Lepisosteus oculatus: one gene and its partner. The protein of the gene in region 1 purifies or fractionates together with the protein of each later gene. This does not show direct contact. Links are inferred from orthologs where the notes say so. Each region holds a gene or a part of one and is shown on either strand. Other genes may lie near its edges. The genes, in order: pex1 and pex26.

What was found.
Region 2: the proteins of pex1 (region 1) and pex26 purify together in Homo sapiens (affinity purification with western blotting; 3 studies listed by BioGRID and IntAct, with this or other methods). This does not show direct contact. The link is inferred for Lepisosteus oculatus from reciprocal best matches to the Homo sapiens genes PEX1 and PEX26.

The regions. Positions count from the first base shown.
Region 1 is NC_090705.1:5,010,175-5,019,479, reverse strand, and holds the start of pex1 (peroxisomal ATPase PEX1), read right to left. Parts: upstream 4,664-9,305; 5' UTR 4,317-4,663; coding exon 4,209-4,316; intron 3,766-4,208; coding exon 3,619-3,765; intron 3,357-3,618; coding exon 3,273-3,356; intron 3,062-3,272; coding exon 2,947-3,061; intron 1,877-2,946; coding exon 1,179-1,876; intron 521-1,178; coding exon 401-520; intron 79-400; coding exon 1-78. Other genes in the region: rbm48 (RNA-binding protein 48), read left to right, coding at 4,803-4,913, 5,210-5,400, 5,819-5,964, 6,282-6,862, 7,400-7,471; clxn (calaxin), read right to left, coding at 8,008-8,058, 8,436-8,540, 9,181-9,305. UniProt on the Homo sapiens protein: Component of the PEX1-PEX6 AAA ATPase complex, a protein dislocase complex that mediates the ATP-dependent extraction of the PEX5 receptor from peroxisomal membranes, an essential step for PEX5 recycling.
Region 2 is NC_090702.1:9,039,658-9,049,537, forward strand, and holds the start of pex26 (peroxisome assembly protein 26), read left to right. Parts: upstream 1-5,919; 5' UTR 5,920-6,153; intron 6,154-7,309; 5' UTR 7,310-7,310; coding exon 7,311-7,534; intron 7,535-9,880. Other genes in the region: cystine/glutamate transporter, read right to left, coding at 1,882-2,089. UniProt on the Homo sapiens protein: Peroxisomal docking factor that anchors PEX1 and PEX6 to peroxisome membranes. PEX26 is therefore required for the formation of the PEX1-PEX6 AAA ATPase complex, a complex that mediates the extraction of the PEX5 receptor from peroxisomal membrane.

The DNA of each region.
Region 1 (9,305 bases):
AGGCAGCTCTTCATTATTCTGAGCTTGCAGCCAGTCCAGGAAAGCAGACTGGACATCCTGCTCCTTGACCTTCTGCGGCTGAGGAAAGGTAAAGATTAAACACTTCTGTCAGGTCTCTTAGTTTCAATATGGGCAACTGAGACATAAAAGCACCACAAGGCTGGAGCAATTTCTACACACAACAGACACAAACAAAGACAGGCACTTTCACTTAAGTGGGGGTTTCAGAAACAGAAGAGAAGCTGGGCTATACAATAACTAGACCAATGACTCCACTCAAGAAAAAAAAATACTCTAAAGAAACCCATGTGCTTTACACTTCTAGCAAAAATACCTTTAATCCTTTTAACTGGAGAGAGCTTTGCATTTTATCTCCTACAAAATCTACGGTTCAACTCACCAGTGATTGCAAGGGCTGCAATCGGACACAGGATGCTATTTCTGGGACTGAGTTTAATGGCTGTATTCTAACGGCTGTGCAGAAATCAATACCCAGTCTTCTTCTAATGGATTCTGAAATCTGTGGACAATAAGGATAATGAGACACACAGGCCGGGATTTGGAAAACAATACAAAGCAATATAGAAGGGTACTGAAACAAACAGTATATCAGTCATTTAACCACTGAATCAATGTGATATACAGTATTTGACATTTCCCATGCTTGTTCACCCAAAGACATTAAACTCCTTTTGAACCGCACTTAGAATCATTTACAGTGAGCGGCTTTGTTAGGATCCTAGTTCCATTTGTTCACAGAACACATTGGAATTCTTTATAGCATCTCCCCTGCTGCTAAAACAGTGAGGCAAATGGGCTATTAATGTATTTTTTAAATTAAATGTGTACAGTATATACTGTATCCTGCTATCCTACAGGTGAATCAACAAGATTCAAGGGAATCACTAGAGTCAAAAGCATCAACTACACACATTTAAAAACCTATTTTAAACCCTTTGTAAACATTCCTGTCACCAGCTCCAAATTGAATGCAGCCCTGTGGCTGTAATCGTACTGTATATCGACACTGTTGTGTCCAAGCAACGTGCTTTCCTACCCCTCGTTTACTCTTCCGGAGCAATCTGAGTGACGTACCTCGCTACAGTGTCTGAACCCACCAACTCCAGTAACGAGTCTGGAGCTCGAACCACTGAGCCGTGCTGCGGCCCCCCACTCACCCACACCCTCCCACCATACGGCATCCCTCTCCTGCTGCCGCAGCCCTGGGTGTCCGCCAGCTCCTCCACCCCATGGCATATGATCCTGACGGCCAGGGGCCCTGCGGCGCCCCCTCCGGACCCGAGCTGGTCTCCAGCGCCCCGAGCCTCGGGGCCCCTCTTCCTCTCGGGCTGGGACAGCGTCCTGTGCGGCTTTTCCCTTGGTTCCCTGGGGCGGTGCAGCCCGGACAGCCGGCCGTAGGTGACAGCGAACGGGGCCCCGCCGCGCGCCGCGCAGGGGTGGCGCCAGGGGAAGACGTGGGCTGCTCCGTGACCGGGGCTCTGCCGGCCGGCAGGGAAGGGGGCGCTCCTGCTCACTCTGAAAACAGAGTCCCCGAGGACGGGCGGCACCGAAGGGACAGCGGGAACCTCCCTCTGGGGGGCAGGGCTCCCGGCGAACATGGATCGGATCAGGCTCCGCAGATTGCGCCCCCCTCCGGGGGAGACGCACGGTGGCGCCCCGCGGTGGGTGCCCAACGCGTCTCTCCCCGGGGCGTTGTCTGGCCCGTGCGGACCCCGAGCCTGACTGGCATCTGCTTGCCAGTTCGGGGGGGCAGAAGGGCGCGCCGGGCTCTCCCCGTCTTGGCGCAGCTTGGGGGAGACGATCAGCTCGGTGAGCTGCTCCAGCCGGCCATACGGAGCAGCGGGCGTGAGGGCAGCTGGAGCCGAGCAGGAACAGGAAGATCAACGCGTTACAAACAGTCTGTCATTGTTTCTCGGGAGACAGATGCTGGACCACAATTGACATAACAATGACACATTTAAGGACTTAACACACAACATATGTGTGAACAATATTGTTGTTTTTTTTTGCTGGCTGGAGTTTGGAGGTTGTAATTGTATGAAGATTAATCATAGGTAAGAAGTCAATATCCAGCTTACACAAAACCACTATAGTAAGTCTAAACTTTGCCTCACACTAGGTTAACTACGTCATGGGAATACAACCGTAAATAACACTGACTGAAGTCAAACTTTCATGTTTTTTTCTAATGCAAGCCAGGGACTATTTCTAACAGCAAGCTCAATGGTCACTAAAACTAGCTTTAGTACACATCCAAGAAATCAGCAAAAGTGGCAAAAACATTAATTATTAAGTCTCCTACTAACATTGACAATGTCTTTTCCTCCTGCTTATGAATGAACACCTGATTCACGTATTTCAAAATTAAATACCTGGAGACCTGGAGCTGGGATTAGGCTCCCCTTAAACGTGTAATAAGTGTGTTTTACACACACAATAAAGTGACTCTTGCTGGCCTGTTTGTGTCTGTGTCTCCAATAATACATTTTAACAAAGGTAGGTAGGTTAGGTCCCCTTTTCAGGCCATAAAGGCCCATGGAGAAAGGGAGGCAGGGGCCACCATTCTTTTCAACCATCTGACACTGGAGGTGGAGGTGATGCGGTCAGCATCGCACTCCGGCCAGCCTGTTACCCCCAGAAGGATTAACCCCCGGTACTCATTTGGAAAGCAGGCTGAGTGGACCTGGGTGTCTTCAGGAAGGAATTAGAGCAAGCGAAATCACTTGCCCCTACCTGGGATTAATCCCAGGACCTTCCAGTCAGGAGCTAGACCTCACATTTCAACAAAACAAAAGCAAAATGAGTGCAACATCTTGCAGAGGAACACACGGGTCTCATGCCACTTAGGTCTTAAATCACCCGGCATAGCACCGAATACCTGCTACAGAACAATTGCGGATAGAGGGAAGAGTGCAAATTGCAAACCTATCCTGACGTAGATGACAGTGTGCTGGTCCACCCACACGGGAAACAGTCCGTTTGGATACACGACCCTTATCTGGTCAAGGAGGTGTCGCTCAAGTGCTGAGCTGTGAAGCTCCTGAAAGAAAAGTGACAGCCCGTCGTCAGCTCGTGTAATCTCAGTGGGACAATAACAAACCCGCGCCATTTTTATCACATTTAAGTGATGTCCATTCTCACTTCTGACAAACGCATGATTGGGTCAAAATGTGAATATTCAAGTTAATTTGTCATATACAGTAGATGAGAGCATTTGGTTTACATTAAAAAATTGCAGACTAAACACATACCAATATCTCCCAGTCATCAGATGACAGTGGTTCCACAAACACCTGCTGAATGGATAGGATCTGCCAGCAAGGTCTGAGAAATGCCTGGAAAATAATGTAATAAAACTTCACACATTCACATACAGTATAAAGAAACAGCACATATGTAATTATCACAATAATCGTCATCATAATGGTAACTTCCTTGTGATAAGAATGATGTTGTTAGGCAAACATAGAGTGAAGCTCAAGGGTTTGTCATGCAGTAGGTGGGTGTCTCTGTTTTGAGGTTGTCCTTTGCAGCCGTTTGTGTAAAATATGACACCAGAAATTCAGGAGCTGGAGAAGCTGTCCATGACATCCCTACCTGCTCTCCATCTTTGATTCCAAGCCTGGCACCCAAGTGCCTGTTGACCTCTACAACGCTCTCCCCCTGGAATGAAGACTGCAGGCATTTCGTCCAGCTGAGGTACACGGGTTGACAGCGGTCCCAGGAGAGCTCCAGGGCTTGGTTCTGATTGGAAACGCAAAAAGAAAACAGAAACAGAAACACCTCGCATCGCAATCACGCGGCCGAGGTCTCATCCTGTGGGGAGTCTATTAAAAGGGTCATCTCCAGCTCCTCACCGCGGAAAGGTTTCAAATGAATCAATCAATCAAGAAATCAGTTCTAGTACAAGACCGCTGAGTCCAAACGAGATGAAAATGAGAAACCCCCCTGCAAATACTGGACCGTGGCAGTCGGCTCTAAACCCTGCGCTGTATTTGAGTATCCGTCTCAGCTATGATTCAGACTCAAAGGTGTAAAGATCCACCTTATAAGCGAGTTTCGTATTAGACTGTATTTCGACATCTTTATTTATGCTAAGTCCTGACTACAAACAATACGCAAGCATTGGCAATTGGTTAGGTACATGGATATCACTAACACGACAACGTAAGGTCTCAGAGTACTACCTCTTGAAGGCGAAGCTGTGAAACTAAGCTCGAAGAGAGGTGCAGAAAACAGTTTTTAGCATTATTAAAAACTAATGTCACTGGCTGTATGCCATGGCTTCCCAGCATTGCTGCTGCAGAAATAGATATTACAAGATACTGTACAGCAGCGCTTCACCACCTGCAGAGAGGAGGGCAATGCGAGCGACTCGCTCTCCGGCTAGGAGCAGTTCAACAAAAATCGTCAAATTTGAATATTTTGTAGGTGCTGCTGCTGTTCGGTATTACAGCATCGAAGCTTTGCTGTGCACGAAGAGTATGTATTTCCCCCAGTACATCTCTGTGTAAATTAATTATTTGATATTAATTGTCTGTCACCCTAAACGTAAATGAAACATTCTTTTTTTAAATCTTATTGCAACGCGCATTGAGATTATGCACCAGTCCCCTAAGTATCAAAACAGGAACTCGGTTTTATTTTTCATTGGTTTAAAGCTGACAGACTACAGCCTATGGTACTGTACAATGATACGGGGGCAATCAGCGCCAGAAACCTTCCCGATTGGTCACGCTCGATTAGCTCTGTGTAGGCTGTTTCTGCCTTGACAGAACAAGATGGCTGCCTCCAGTTGGAGCATCCCGGAGATTTTAAAACACCACCAACAAACAGACGTTTGTTATACAAGAGCTAAATACAGGGAAGGGAGGAGGCTTAAGGCTGTCAAGGTTAGCTTTTTCCCCCTGTGTTTGTCTTTACCGAAACGATTGTTTCTGTACGTAGCCTGCTATATCAATTACTGTGTTCTGCTGGGCTCAAGCTGTCAGACAAGAAACATCTTTAAACTCTTTCAGATTAGAAACTTGCTTTTAATGCGGGTTTACGAAGTCCAGCACGACCACAGTATATTTAACCCAGCAGAGCTCTATTGGAGCAGTCTAAGAAGACTGACTCTTATTTATTGACGGTGACAAAGTCAAAAGCAGCTTTAGGAAGTGTAATATGTGCAATTCCTTTTGTTTAGGTTTATACTATCAACTTGGAGTCCCGCTGCTTGTTGGTCCAGGGGGTGCCTGCGTTGGGGGTGATGTCTGAGCTGGTTCAGCTTTTTGCTCTGTATGGAGTGATTGAAGAATACCGTGTGTTAGACGAATATCCGTCAGAACAATTCACAGAAGTGTACTTGATAAAGTTCCAGAAACTACAAAGTGCAAGGTAACAGTTCTGGTATTTTCATTTATAATACCACTTCACACCAGTAAGGTAACAGTGGTCTTCCTAGCATTTGGATCGAATTCACATTTGTGTTTCTTGTTCTGTTTGCTGTTTGTGTGTGTTTTTTTTGCTAACTGCTTGTTTGTGATGAACTGAAGGACAAAACGTTATGCCAGCAAGGCATACAGCCTACTCGACAATAAAATCTGGATTTCTTTAAGCACATTAATTCGAGTTAATTTCACCTGTTAATTGTGAAAGTGCAGAATATTCAGTGAATATACTGTGACTGTGTGATTTTAGTAAATATCCCTTTATTTTTAATACAACACCAAAGAAATAATTGCATTTTAAAATGTTGATAAAACGAAAAATCATCAGTGTCCCACAACTATTTAAAATATTTTACCCAATACAGAGTAGCCAAACGAAAACTGGATGAGAGGAGTTTTTTTGGTGGACTTCTACATGTGTGCTATGCTCCAGAGTATGAAACGGTGCAGGACACCAGGGAAAAATTGCAGGACAGGAGGAGGTATATTGCAAGAGTAACACGGAATAAAGGTGAGCTTTTTAAAATAAAAATCAAATGTTGAGTCAAATGAATCAAATGTTGATTCATGCTTTAGTCAGAATAGTCCTAAAAGTTCAGAAGACCTTCCCATTTAAAGCTGGGGGCCCATATTTGTTCCACTCTTTAAGTGTAGTTGATCACTTACACGAATTTAAAAGCTTTGTAAGGAGGTCTTATGTAATAGTTATGAATATACAAAGACAAAATCGATATTTGTTTTTTTTGTTTACCAGACCTTGTGGATTTAATGTGCATATCCTGAAATACTACGAGTGTTCTGGAAGTCAGGCTTCTTATTTCCTTCCAGGAGGAGACCATGATAATACAGAGAAGAAAGTGGAGAAGCCTAGTACATCTGAGGAAGCTGCATGTGAACAACAGCAAGCAGAGGAAACTGGTGATGATGGTGAAAAAGTCGAGAGCTGGAATGATTATTATGGCTATCCCATGCTGCCTCCTCCTCCTCAGGAAGACATCCCTGGGCATCAGTCGTTTGGGGAACAGACATATTTTAGCTTTAAGGGACTTCCGGAAGTGGGTTCTTCATCTGAAAGGTTCAGAGTGGTGCCCAGGAATCGTTCAGCTGATCACAGTAAGAATTCCTTGGGGGATCCCTTAGGGTCTGTTCGTAAAGATAAGCGAGTTCACAAGGACCAGAAAGATCCTGTTGCTGTAGTTAAAAGCAGTACTGCAAGATTCATACCAAGAACCACACATTTACAAGAAAGGAAAAGAAAAATGGAACAGGCTGGGGAACTCTCTCTTTTGGGAATTAACAGAACAAATGAGACAATCATTGGACCAAAACTACCAGAAACACCCAAAGTGGATATGGGAGATGATTCCCTAAACACTTCAGTCGACTTAATCAGATCAAAAATAATTAAGGTGAGTTGCAGATTTTAAGTTCTTTATAAGACCTTCACTGTCTTAGCATTTCATTTCTGTTATGTGTGTTTGGCATTATTCTCCATTTCTGCTGTTGTTCAGTAGGCCAGTAGAGCTGTTAAAAACACAAGCCATCAGAAACCTCACACATTACAGTACTTGTAAGATATTTGGAAAGGCTTTGCACAGTAGTGTAGTGTTACAAAACCAACAAGCATATGTGTGAGAAGAACTGCCCAGCTGGATTCCATGTGCATAACTTCCAATAATAGGACTATCAGATCTGAAATGTTTCTAATTCGTCTCTTTTAGTCCACATATAGATTTCCAAATAAACTGGTGCTCAGATGTGCACCTGTGTTTGTACATAATCCATTATGAGCCACTCATGCCTTTTTTTTCTATCGCCACCTTTCCATCTCTCCGAAGACTATTCAGTAGGAGACATATTCTGCCTCGAGGCACTGTGGAGTTATAACAATATAGGAAAACTGTGTTGGGGCATTTTACCATATTTGTTTTTTCTTTTGCAACCAGATCTCTTCGGTTCCAGAGTCAAAGCCAGGAGAGCAGCAGCCAATTGCCCCAAAACCACGCAGGAGGATTTAATTGTGCTCTTTACACTGGGAAACGCTCTGCTCGAGAGCAAGGAGCTGTGTGAATGAGGATGAGACATAACACATTGATTTCCGAGTGGCTCCAGAAGGTCTTCAGCATTCCAAAACGGTCATTCTCGGACATTAACTAGAATAATAAGAAGCCCATGAAATCACTTTGATTAAATTAATATTGATATTTGAAAGGTGCTGAAGAAACCTCCTTGCTGAACAGAAGTAGGAGGAACAATCCAGATAAGCATTAGAACTAATACAGTCTGGCGTTAGTGTTTTGACCTTAAAAGGCATAACAAACAAACAATGTTTTGGCTGTAAAATGCAAAAAATCCCACAACATTTTAGCTGTGAAGCCTTCTTCAGGCACACATTTGAAGACGATTACAACTGAAACACTACACTACAACACCCTCAAAGAAAAGTGATTATGAACTGGCTTTTCATAAGGACAGGATTAAGCTTGTTTGCAATACATCCAAATAAAAGTTTATTTCTTACAAAGGTAGTCAATTCTAGATTATATAATATTATTTAAGTCTCAGTAGTATTGTGGAACACCTGCTGTTCAAATGCCAGTATACTCTGTAATACAAAGAGAAAAAAAGATAAATTTGTTTTGAATTACACATGATAAGTATTAATCTTTGAGATATTATAAAAATGTTCCAATATAATTGTCTACCGTACAAAAGCAAATTTACATTTTTAAAATAAAAGCATTTCTAAGTATATTTTGTAATGTTTAACATAAACACACCAATTACACAAATTCTTAAATCTGTGAGATTTGCCACATTAGAACATATTTGAACTAAATTTGTGATGTGTATTTACCATTAAATGTAGTTAAATCTTATCATGATGTAACGTTACATCTCTTGTAAGCAGTAAAATCTGGCTATTCTCTCTGTGTTCATGTGCTCCATCAGTCAGTGTAAAGCTCTCTTTTAATTGGATACCTTTGTATCAGGAAGGCACATTCCAAAGGCTTCAAGTAAAAGATTTTCATCCCGCACTGCTTTCTCAAAATCTGTGTATGAAAGTCTGCTGTCGTGGTCATGGTCCTGTAAATAATAATAAAGGTTTATTTTTGTATTACGAGTATAAAGTATTTGTATTTGTATCCTAATAATGTTCGACTTTTTTCTGTCTTTGCATTATTTTTATTGAGAAAATGTAATGGTACCATGTTCAGAATAATTTGATAGAGTATTTTTACTTCACTTGGATTACTTACCATAAATGTTGAACCTGATTTGGTAGTTAGCCACACTTTAAAAACAATCTATTTTTTAAATAATAGCTGGCTTGCACTACAGGATGAACTACTTCTTTCAAGTGTCAGTACAGACAATATTAAATGCATTAATATTGGGTATATATGTAGATATAGTTGTAAGATATAACTTGAAGTGTAATATAAGTGAAATATTCCTGATAACATGTTTATGTGTGTTTTTACAGAATGTTGATATAATATGTACTAGAAATAAACTGAAGTATTACAAGTCTGTACATCTCAAATACTGTGTGCTTGAAGGTACTCTTTGTACAGATGTGTAAACTGAGCAAACTTTCAAAGGTTACATTTTTGATTAGTATTACTGAAATACAAACTCAGTTAGAGTATAGGGGGAACTTCCAAACCTAAGACCAGTCTTAAACAAGGTTTCAGCTCAAGACACCAAACAGGAATAGTCTCACCATCTTTTTCAGTGTGATCTCTACCAAGTCTTTGATCCCCTCATCTGGGTCTTCTTCTGTGGGTTGTTTTATTAGGCTGTTTTTCAGCATGTGGAACATCTCTTCTCGAGAAATATATCCATCCC
Region 2 (9,880 bases), on another chromosome or scaffold:
ATTGAATGAAGGAGAGATGAACCTGTCACTGATTAATCTGCATGCTCCCAGGTGCATGGCAGGCCATATGCCGGCTTGACTAACTTCAGACCCACAGATCCCCAACAGTATCTGGCCAGTTGCTTCCCCTGGGAAACTTCAGTCACAAATTACTGAAAACAGAGCCCAGGTTCTGGACTGTTTATGATGTGCAAAAGTCACTTGAGAGTGACTTGACACACCAGAGAGTCACTTGACACACTCTTGCAAGTCCACAAAGGCATTTTATTTAATTCCAGTGGCTCTGGATAGTAGGTTTAACTGATGCCACATTAACCAGACTTTATAAAAAGCCTGGAATATATCCTGATGAATATTGTTTTTTGTGAATATTTTTGTAAAAATGCTCTATGAAGTATCCGTAGTGGGTTAATCACTCTCTTTCTCTCTTGGCCTGGATTCATAGAGAAAAGTTAAAGTCACATGGTTGTAAAAGTCAATTCACCAGTTTAGAGAGAGATCTTCAAGTCAGTGAGTTAACCGGAGAAAAATGACTTATGGTCCAGTTTATATGTGGCGACATTAACAGTTTGTGATTGGCCAAGATGCTATCAGATTTGGTTCTGGTACCCACCTACAGATCAATTATTGGCGGATCTGTGATTGTTGGGAATGATTCAACCTGGAGACGTGCAGGAACCCATCTGCACTATACATCACAATTTTATGAGGTCTTTTATCAGAGGGGCCTATTCACCACATTCCTCTGCATTTAGGGAGAGGCACCAGGCTGCTTGGTCAAGGCATAGAAATAATTAATAACACTTAATTAATAAAGTGAAATAATAGAGCATCCTGTAAACTACAACTACAAACGATCCAGCAGCCATATCACCCTGCAGCTCACCACTGGTAGCCCACTGAAGCTAAGCATGTGTGAGCCTGGTCAGTACCTGGATCGGAGACCTCCTGGGAAAAACTAAGGTTGCTGCTGGAAGAGGTGTTAGTGGGGACAGCAGGGGGCGCTCACCCTGCGGTCCATGTGGGTCCTAATGTCCCAGTATAGTGAAGGTGACACTATACTGTAAAACAGGCGCCGTCCTTCAGATGAGACGTAAAACCGAGGACCTGACTCTCTGTGGTCATTAAAAATCCCAGGGCGCTTCTCGAAAAGAGTAGGGGTGTAACCCCGGTGTCCTGGCCAAATTTCCCAATGGCCCTTACTGATCATGGCCTCCTAATAATCCCCCTCTATAAATTGGCTACATTACTCTGCTCTCCTCCCCACTGATAGCTGATGTGTGGTGAGCGTTCCGACGCACTATATCTGCTGTTGCATCATCCAGGTGGATGCTGCACGGTGGTGGTGGAGGGGAGTCCCCATTACTTGTAAAGTGCTTTGCGTGGAGTGTCCAGAAAAGCGCTATATAAGTGTAAGCAATTATTATTATAACAAAAATACCTTTTCTGTTTTGAAGGGATATGCATAGTTAAAATTAACAAACCTTTTATGTTTCTGATACAAGCTTTTTACATCTCATGGCCAGAATGAGAGGTGAAATCATTGTTCCATTTTTTGTCACCTTGGCTAAATTTGTTAACAGCACCCTTACTGCTTAAGGATTTCCATTTATACAGTATGTTAAACATGTTGAAGCCCACAGAACAATGGTGGTGTTCCACAGGTGAACAACAGGATAATTTTCTTGCATAGTGTTTATAACATAATGGTTCAATGCTTTAACATGTAGCTAAATCCACCTTTTTATGATTTTTCATTAGTCAAGAGAGCAAAAAAAAAAACTACATTTTTGCAACTATTTTTATAATTTAAATCAAAGGAGAACAACCTGAACACTAGACTAGAACTACCATACAAAGTCTGCTGGTATCGCCACTCACCGAAGGTGGACAGTATCCCAGAGAGCACCCAGATGATCAGAGACAAACCCACGTTGCCACTGTTCTTGAGAACACCTTTGGGAGCAATGAAGATCCCACTGCCCACCACAGTGCCGATGATCAGACAGACAGCTCCCAGCAGGTCAATCTTCTTCCTCAAGTAAACAGTTTCAGCTCCTGACTTAGCTTCACTTTTATTCCCCTCCATGTTTGCAGAATTGCTCCAAGGAAGAACATGCACTCACACTCCAAGGCTGTGTTTTTTGGACTATGTGCTGCACAGTCGCCACAGTAACCTATTTTGGGCCAAAAACAAAGGAAGCAGTCTTCTCGAGTTGCTCTCGCATAGTTAATCAGAGACGTCTGAGGGTCAAACTGCTGCCTGTGTGCGCGCAGCTTGTTGAGAGAGAGAAGGCCACCCAATGGAAAACAGCTGCCTGACACTACAGGCCCCCACCTCCTTTTTTATTCCTCAAATACTGTATCTGTGGACTGAATTTGGGCACTGAATTCTGAGAAAATATTTTTCATTAAATAGGCCTAGGGAAGGATCGCAGGATTTCTTTTAAAAAATCAAAATCAATGACAATCACAAGTCATGACATGTTTTGTAAACAAAATAAAACCTGTCAAAAAATTTATATTTGATGGAAGATGGCTTCATATATTTCCTTATTACACAAAGTCCTTACTATCTTTACAGAGGAGGATTTTTCAAATGCACAATCATTATTTTATTTTTACATCCACATATTTGGATTCACTGTGAGCTTTGTACCATTACAAATGGGAACAAGGGCTTTCCTTCAAGATGTAATTTTATTAAGCCATCATGCTCCGAGTACCACAGAGTCAATCAGAAACTTAAAGTCAATCTCACTAACATTACTGCTCAAAATACTATCGTTTCTTCCATTGTGTGTGTATCTCTCATTATTAAGCCGGTATCTCCAATAACATCCTCAGAGCTGGAACACAGCGTGATTCTGGCTAACATGCGACAATGAAATGCACATTGTGTCTTACAAAAGTATCCACCCCCTGCCAAGAACAGGGGAAATTAATGTGCGTTAAGAAGGACAATGGCCTGGATAGCAGAAGGCTGTTTGCCACAGACACTCAGGAGTGTAATTTGGCGCCAAACGTTAATAGTGAGGGGCTTGCGTGGACTGCCTGAACACCGGCAGAGCGCTTCGTTTCCGTAACCACGGAGCAAGCGGTGTGCTGGTGTATAGTCGTATCGTAAGGCGTCTTCTCCGCTATATACTGTACAACGAAAAGTCTTTCCACTAAAGGGAAAATTATACTTCGGTAACCACTTCGCTACAACGCTGGTTCAGAGCTTGGACCCCATCCGCGCGCTCGCGGGGATGTTAAATAGCAAACCTGTTAAGCCTCAGGTGCTGTAGTTACAGTAGCTGTGCATTCCCTAGCGCCGCGGAGTACGGAGTGCAGAAAGAGCTGTGTTCCACTGTCACACCTGCAAGAGAAAAACTGTCTAGTACTGATTAACCCAACAGAGAAAACAAATCTTGAGTGCTGAGAGATTTTGATTTCATATGTACAAATATTTTGAACTATACACTGTAGTTTAAATTGGCCAAAGAGGCTGATTTATGTTTATATAAATGTTTGAGTTATTATTGCCTTGATTAATACAACTACAAAATATATAATTTAAGATCGAATGATTAATTACAGTATAATTACAGGACAACTCCAGAGATTTGACACTGTATTTGAACGAAAAGAATCGGTATATCATGTGCAGATTACACATGACAGCACACAAGTAAAGTATCCAGAGTAGGTTTATACTTACCCCAATGTTCACATAATCTGATTAAAAGTTCTATCTACAATTGTATAAGACCAATGTCTGTATCTGTTCCCACGCCTAGAGCTGTCATATTCAAACTCCCACAGAGACATTAATTGATATCAACACAGATTTATGTGCTTGAGTGAATCACTACAGGCAAGCAAAAACAAAAAAATACTGAGTTAATCAGTTATATTTATTTCTGCAATTAAGTGGAGTTTTGTCATTTTCATTTTGGAATTTTTAACATTCACATAGTATTTTTAATTCATTTAAAGCCAGTCATCTGAACAACACACTTTTATTCTCCAATAAAGACTTCAGCTGCACCTGACCTGTAGCTCTTAGAGGAAGCACTATAGGAATGCAGTAGATTGCCTGTAAGACAAAAGATGGCTATTTCATATACATTTGCTTAACACTGTACAAAATAGTGAGCAAATGCTAAGACAGACCATGGGATACAGATGGAAATAGCAAGCAGTCTGAAGATTTTTATCCCAAAGTTACTAAATACAGATCATTACAATTAGCCCTAAAAACCTGCACTGCTGTGTTCTGAAGTGTTCTTGAACTGTCACAGAGTATGTTAAAGTGTACACATGATTTCAGACATTAAACCACTCTTTAAAAAATAGAACGTTTTGTTTTAATGTCACTGTCTTAGTGGCATAACATCTGAGCTGTCAGTTAAAACAGGGGAAATGCATAGGCAATAGCTGTAGAATAATTGAATATTTATAAAATAACAAGTAATAGGTTTATTCCATGCTGAAAAAAAGAAGAAAGAGAACACAACGTTTCAACGTTGTGTTCTCTTTCTTCTTTTTTTCAGCATGGAATAAACCTATTACTTGTTCCTTTGCAGCCTACGCATGCTGACGCAGCTACCCACCTGATTTATAAAATAAGTCTATCAAGGGAAATCCTCAAAAGCTGATAGGAAAAACCTAACTTAGATTAATTGTAAGTGTATGTATTGAAGTCAGGATAATTCAGTTATTAAAAAAACTGAGCTTTTGATTGTAGAGGGGGAGAAGGGGAAAAGGGAAGAGAATGGGAGACTGAAAAAAACTAAAATTATCCACTGTCCATATAGTCTAAGGTCTTGCTCCGATTTAGAATTAACAGAAATCATGAAGTAGATCAAGAATAGCTTTTGTGACAAAACTCTAGAAAAATCGGTCAGATTGTGTAAGTACTGCAGTTGCTCACAAAATAAATGTATAAGAAAACCCAAACAGTTAAAAAAATAACAATCAAGTGTGTCAGATTGAGATAGCTGGTGTCCTACTCACGCTCCATCTCCTACTATTCTAGATTCCATGTTATATCACAAATAGTATAGGTTGTGCTAACTTTTAATTTTTTTTTCTGTTTATCTCTCTATGTGTTAAGAATAGAGGACACAAACGCTACAAAAGTCAAGAGCATCTTAACCTTCCTGCTGCTACAGATGCAGTGCTGTGGAATAGGCTGTGCATGTGATAACTATTCATTGCTGTTTCAACGGTGTCGTGACTGCCAGCTTTAAAGAAACAAAATATCTGATCTAGGGGTCTGAATACTTTTGCAATACTTGGCAGGTATGAAGAATAGCTGGTAGCTCCTGCTGTAATATTTCATATACCAGAGAATAAACAAATAAGAAACATTTATAAAGATAAAATATAAAGTATATTATATTCAATAATATATTTGTTATGTATTATATTAAATTAATTATAATCTTATAAAAATAAAATATTAGTAAGTTGCTGCTTTATAAAATTATAAAAATAAGTATTAGTCCGTCCTTCGGATGAGACGTAAAACCGAGGTCCTGACTCTCTGTGGTCATTAAAAATCCCAGGGCTCTTCTCGAAAAGAGTAGGGGTGTACCCCGGTGTCCTGGCCAAATTGGCTACATTACTCTGCTCTCCTCCCCACTGATAGCTGATGTGTGGTGAGCGTTCTGGCGCACTATGGCTGCCGTCGCATCATCCAGGTGGATGCTGCACATTGGTGGTGGTGGAGGGGAGTCCCCATTACCTGTAAAGCGCTTTGAGTGGAGTGTCCAGAAAAGCGCTATATAAGTGTAAGCAATTATTATTATTATTATTATAGTCTCCACAAACATATATTATGGGAAGTGTAGTTTTCTAGCGGTCTCCAATGAGTGCATTCTAACAGTAAAAACTATGATTCCCACAGTTCATTGCGTTGTTGACATCCGCTCCAAGTATGTCCGCTGTGTAGCTGATCAGTTTTAACTTTGATGTGGAAAAAAGTGTAATAAGGTTTTGATTTTTTAGACGCAGATTTCTAAATCAACACAATATCTTTTTTTTGCTTTCTTTTCCTCTTGCGTTTCGATGTGGTAAAATACATTAATGTTACCTGCTCAATTTTAAATAGTGAAAGTCAGTTTTCTGCGAAACAGGATTAAACGTGCTGTGAGTGCGTGAAAGGTTGGTATATTATATAGTAAATGTGAAGAGTATAGTAAGTAAAAGTCTCTTTAAAAATGATCTCTTTAAAATGATGTTAGTGTTAATGGATTGATGGTTCAAAAAGATCAATAAAAACTCAAATAACTTTTGTCGTACAGTTCTGCAAACGGTGGAGAAAATGTTAGATGGTTATTTACTCAGAATAAATATAAAACGTACTATATGGAGTGAATTATTTGTAATGCTTTTTACGGAGATAAAACCTCCTGACACTTTTCGATTAACATCTGCAATTTAAAAATAAATTCTTAATCGAATGCATATTCGCAAAGATTTTCGTTGTTTTTTTATGCCTTTACATACTTTTATGCCTTTACATACTGAATTACTTAACATTAGTATCCAGATCGGGTTTTTCACTTCTTAAGTGAAACAAGTGAGTATTGTATTCAGAGTGATTAGTAACTTCATAGTGGATTGATATGCAGTACACATGTACATGCATGCCTATTTGCAGAATAAATGATTACTTATGGTGGCATGATGGTGCAGTAGTTGGCATTGCTAGTTTGCAGCGCTGGGGGCCTGTGTCTGTGGTGTTGGATGGGAGTTCTGTCCAGGGTGTATCCTGCCCTGTGCTAGTTGCTTCCCGCGATAGGCTTCGGATCCCCCGAGACCCTGAACTGGATAAAGCGGTTAGAAAATGGATGGATAGATGAATAAGTGCTTTCATTCTTATTTGAAGTTATCAATCAAAGTTTATTTATCAAATGCACAACAACACAGTGTGCAGCAGTAGTTGCTGGCAATGGAATGTCTTTTCTACGAGCTCACTGGGAGAGATAAAAATCACAGAATTAAAGTTGCAAAATAAGGTTACATAATGATAGATAATAGTGCAATAGAAATTCAATAAGATAAACTCAATATAAATAGAGTTGCTATGTGTCCAGGGTGTATGCAATACATTATGTCCAAGTAGTGCAGTATGCCAAATACAATGAAAACTGTATGTCCATGTAGCCATTGTGGGTGACTTGCTGAAGGCACTATAGGATTTGCTGAAGGAATTATGACAGTGAACACAAATCTGCATGCTGTTGCATTGTATCTTAACAGAAGACGCAGTCCTTGCGCTGCTGTGGAAAGTGAATATTTTCTGTTTCTCTGCAAGGATGCGGAGCAGCTCCTCCACCTCTCTGGCCCATGTGAGGGGCCTGGGCTCGGTGCGACTCGGCAGCAGCCCGCTGCTGTCCCAGGGCTCGGCTCAGGCGCTCAGCCTGCTGGAGACCGCCGCCGAGCAGCTGATGGTGCAGCGGGATTTTCGAGCAGCGCTGGATTCATGCGAGAGAGGTTTGGACAGCATGGGGAGTGTCCCTGAGCAGGAGGACACATCAAGGTACCGCTACAGCCAAAGACAAACAAGGGCGTGTTGTGTACTCATAATAGTGCAATATGTTTTGGGGGCCAATAATGAGATTGACAAGGAAATCTGGGTATTGATTAATAAAATTAAGTAGTTTACAGTGCCTTCAAAAAGTATTCACCCCCATTGATGATTTCTTGTTCTACTGTGTTGCAAAGTCAAATTAAAACATATTTAAATGGGATTTTTTTCCTCTAAAATGTTAAAATGAAATGAAGTATTTAGACGTCTTCAAAATTATATTAAAAATAAAAATCTGAAAATTTCTTAATTGATAAGTATTCACCCCCTTTGTTTTAACAACCTAAATTGGGTGAGGTATTCAACCACCTTGAGAGATATCACACTAAATGTCACGAAGAGTAGATCAGGACCCTATGCAGACGATAGAATCCGGAAGGGAGTGCAACAGACACGGGGAGGAGACGGAGAGGAACTGGGCAGGTGGACGAACGGGGGTGTGACGATGGTGCACTGCCCGTGGAACTTCGAGAAGAAGTTGTAAGGAGGAAAAAAACTGGAGAAGGTTATTAAAAGATTGGCAAAGCTTTGAGCCTTCCTAGGAGCACCGTGAAGTCCAGTGTAACAAAATGGAAAAAACATGGCACAACCTAGACACTACTAAGATCAGGCCGTCCTACCAAATTGAGCAACCGGACAAGAAGGCCAATTGTCAGAGAAGTGACCAAGAGGCCAGCTACAACACTGACAGAGTTGCAGAGCTCTTTGGCTTAAATGGGAGAAACTGTCCAGACATCAACAATCTCTTCAGCACTTCACAGATTTGGCCTCTTTGGGAGATTGGCTAGAAGGAAGCCACTTCTGAGAAAGGCCAACATTAAATCACTCCTGGAGTTTGCTAGAAACCAAATACAACTGAACACCCAGGTAACACCATCAAGCATGGTGGTGGCAGCATCATGCTCTGGGGTTGCTTTTTAGCAGGAGGAACTGGAAAGCTTGTTGCCATCAAGGGCAACATGGATGGAGCCAAATACAGGCAAATCCTTGAGGAGAACCTGTTTCAGTCAGCCAGAGATCTGCGTTTAGGTTGAAGATTCATTTTCCAGCAGGACAATGACCCAAAGCACATGGCAAAAACTATCAAGGAATGGTTTGAAAAAAAGAAGGTTAGTATTCTGGAATGGCCCAGCTAGAGCCCAGAGGTGAATCCAATTGAAATTCTGTGGTGAGACCTGAACATTTCTTTCCACAGATGCTCTCCATCTAATTTGGCAGAGTTGGAGCAAATTTGCATTGAAGAATGGGCAAAAATACCACAATTTAAATGTGCAAAGCTCATACAGACAATCCCGAGAAGACTCATGGCTGTAATTGCTGCTAAAGGACTATGTACAAAGTATTGACTGGGGGTGGGGCTAAATACTTTTGTTAATGAGAAATGTAAGTCTTTCATTCTGGAGAAATGAATGTTCTTGAATTAAAAAAAAAAGATTCATAAATGTTTAATTTATTGTGTTATTGAAAAGTGAAAAAAATTTTTAATGTGTTAAATGTGGAGGTGTAACAGGAACAAAATGCAAAAGAAATCAAGGGGGTGAATACTTTCTAAAGGCACTGTATATTAACATAGAGTCTGACAGAATTTGCTGCTATGTTCTGACTGTGAGTAGCCTCACAATTTTTTGGCTGTACATCTTTTTGAGGAAATTCAGGAACTTGGAGGAAAGTCAAAATAAATACAGGGCCCTTTTGGGTCAACCCGTCCCACAGGTCCCAGTGACCAGAACAGCTGAAAGTTCTTGTTTATTTATCTAACCAGATAAGTAAATTGAGAACAAATTCTCCTTTATGGTGATGACCTGGAGTGTGCCCTTTCCTGCTGCAAGCCATTTCCTGGAGAAATTGCAGTGATGTACAGCAGTGTTCCAACCAAGATTTAAATCAGGAGCCCTGGTCATTGCTCCATACTACTGACCTGATATTTAGTATTTCCTTAGACATCAAAAGGGACATTAGTTCATAACACATTAAGACGCCAGTTATGATTCATAAAGTGCTTTGTCGCTGTATCTGATCAAGCCTAGTCTACAGGTAGTACTGAAGAGTGTGAAGAAAAAATCAAGATGTCATCATGTTTACTGGATCATTAAGATTATTCCAGTGGCCAAAGCAGAGAGATGAATGCTGTGTACTTCTACAGAAGGGCTGTCCTATCCTAAACCGAAATAATTTCTCATTACTTTATCTGATCTGCTGTGCACTGGGGTGCTGGAGCATAATGGGTCTGTCATGCAGTAGCAAATTAAGTTTTTAGTGCTTTAGGATATTTTGGGATGAAAAGTGTGATACAATTTC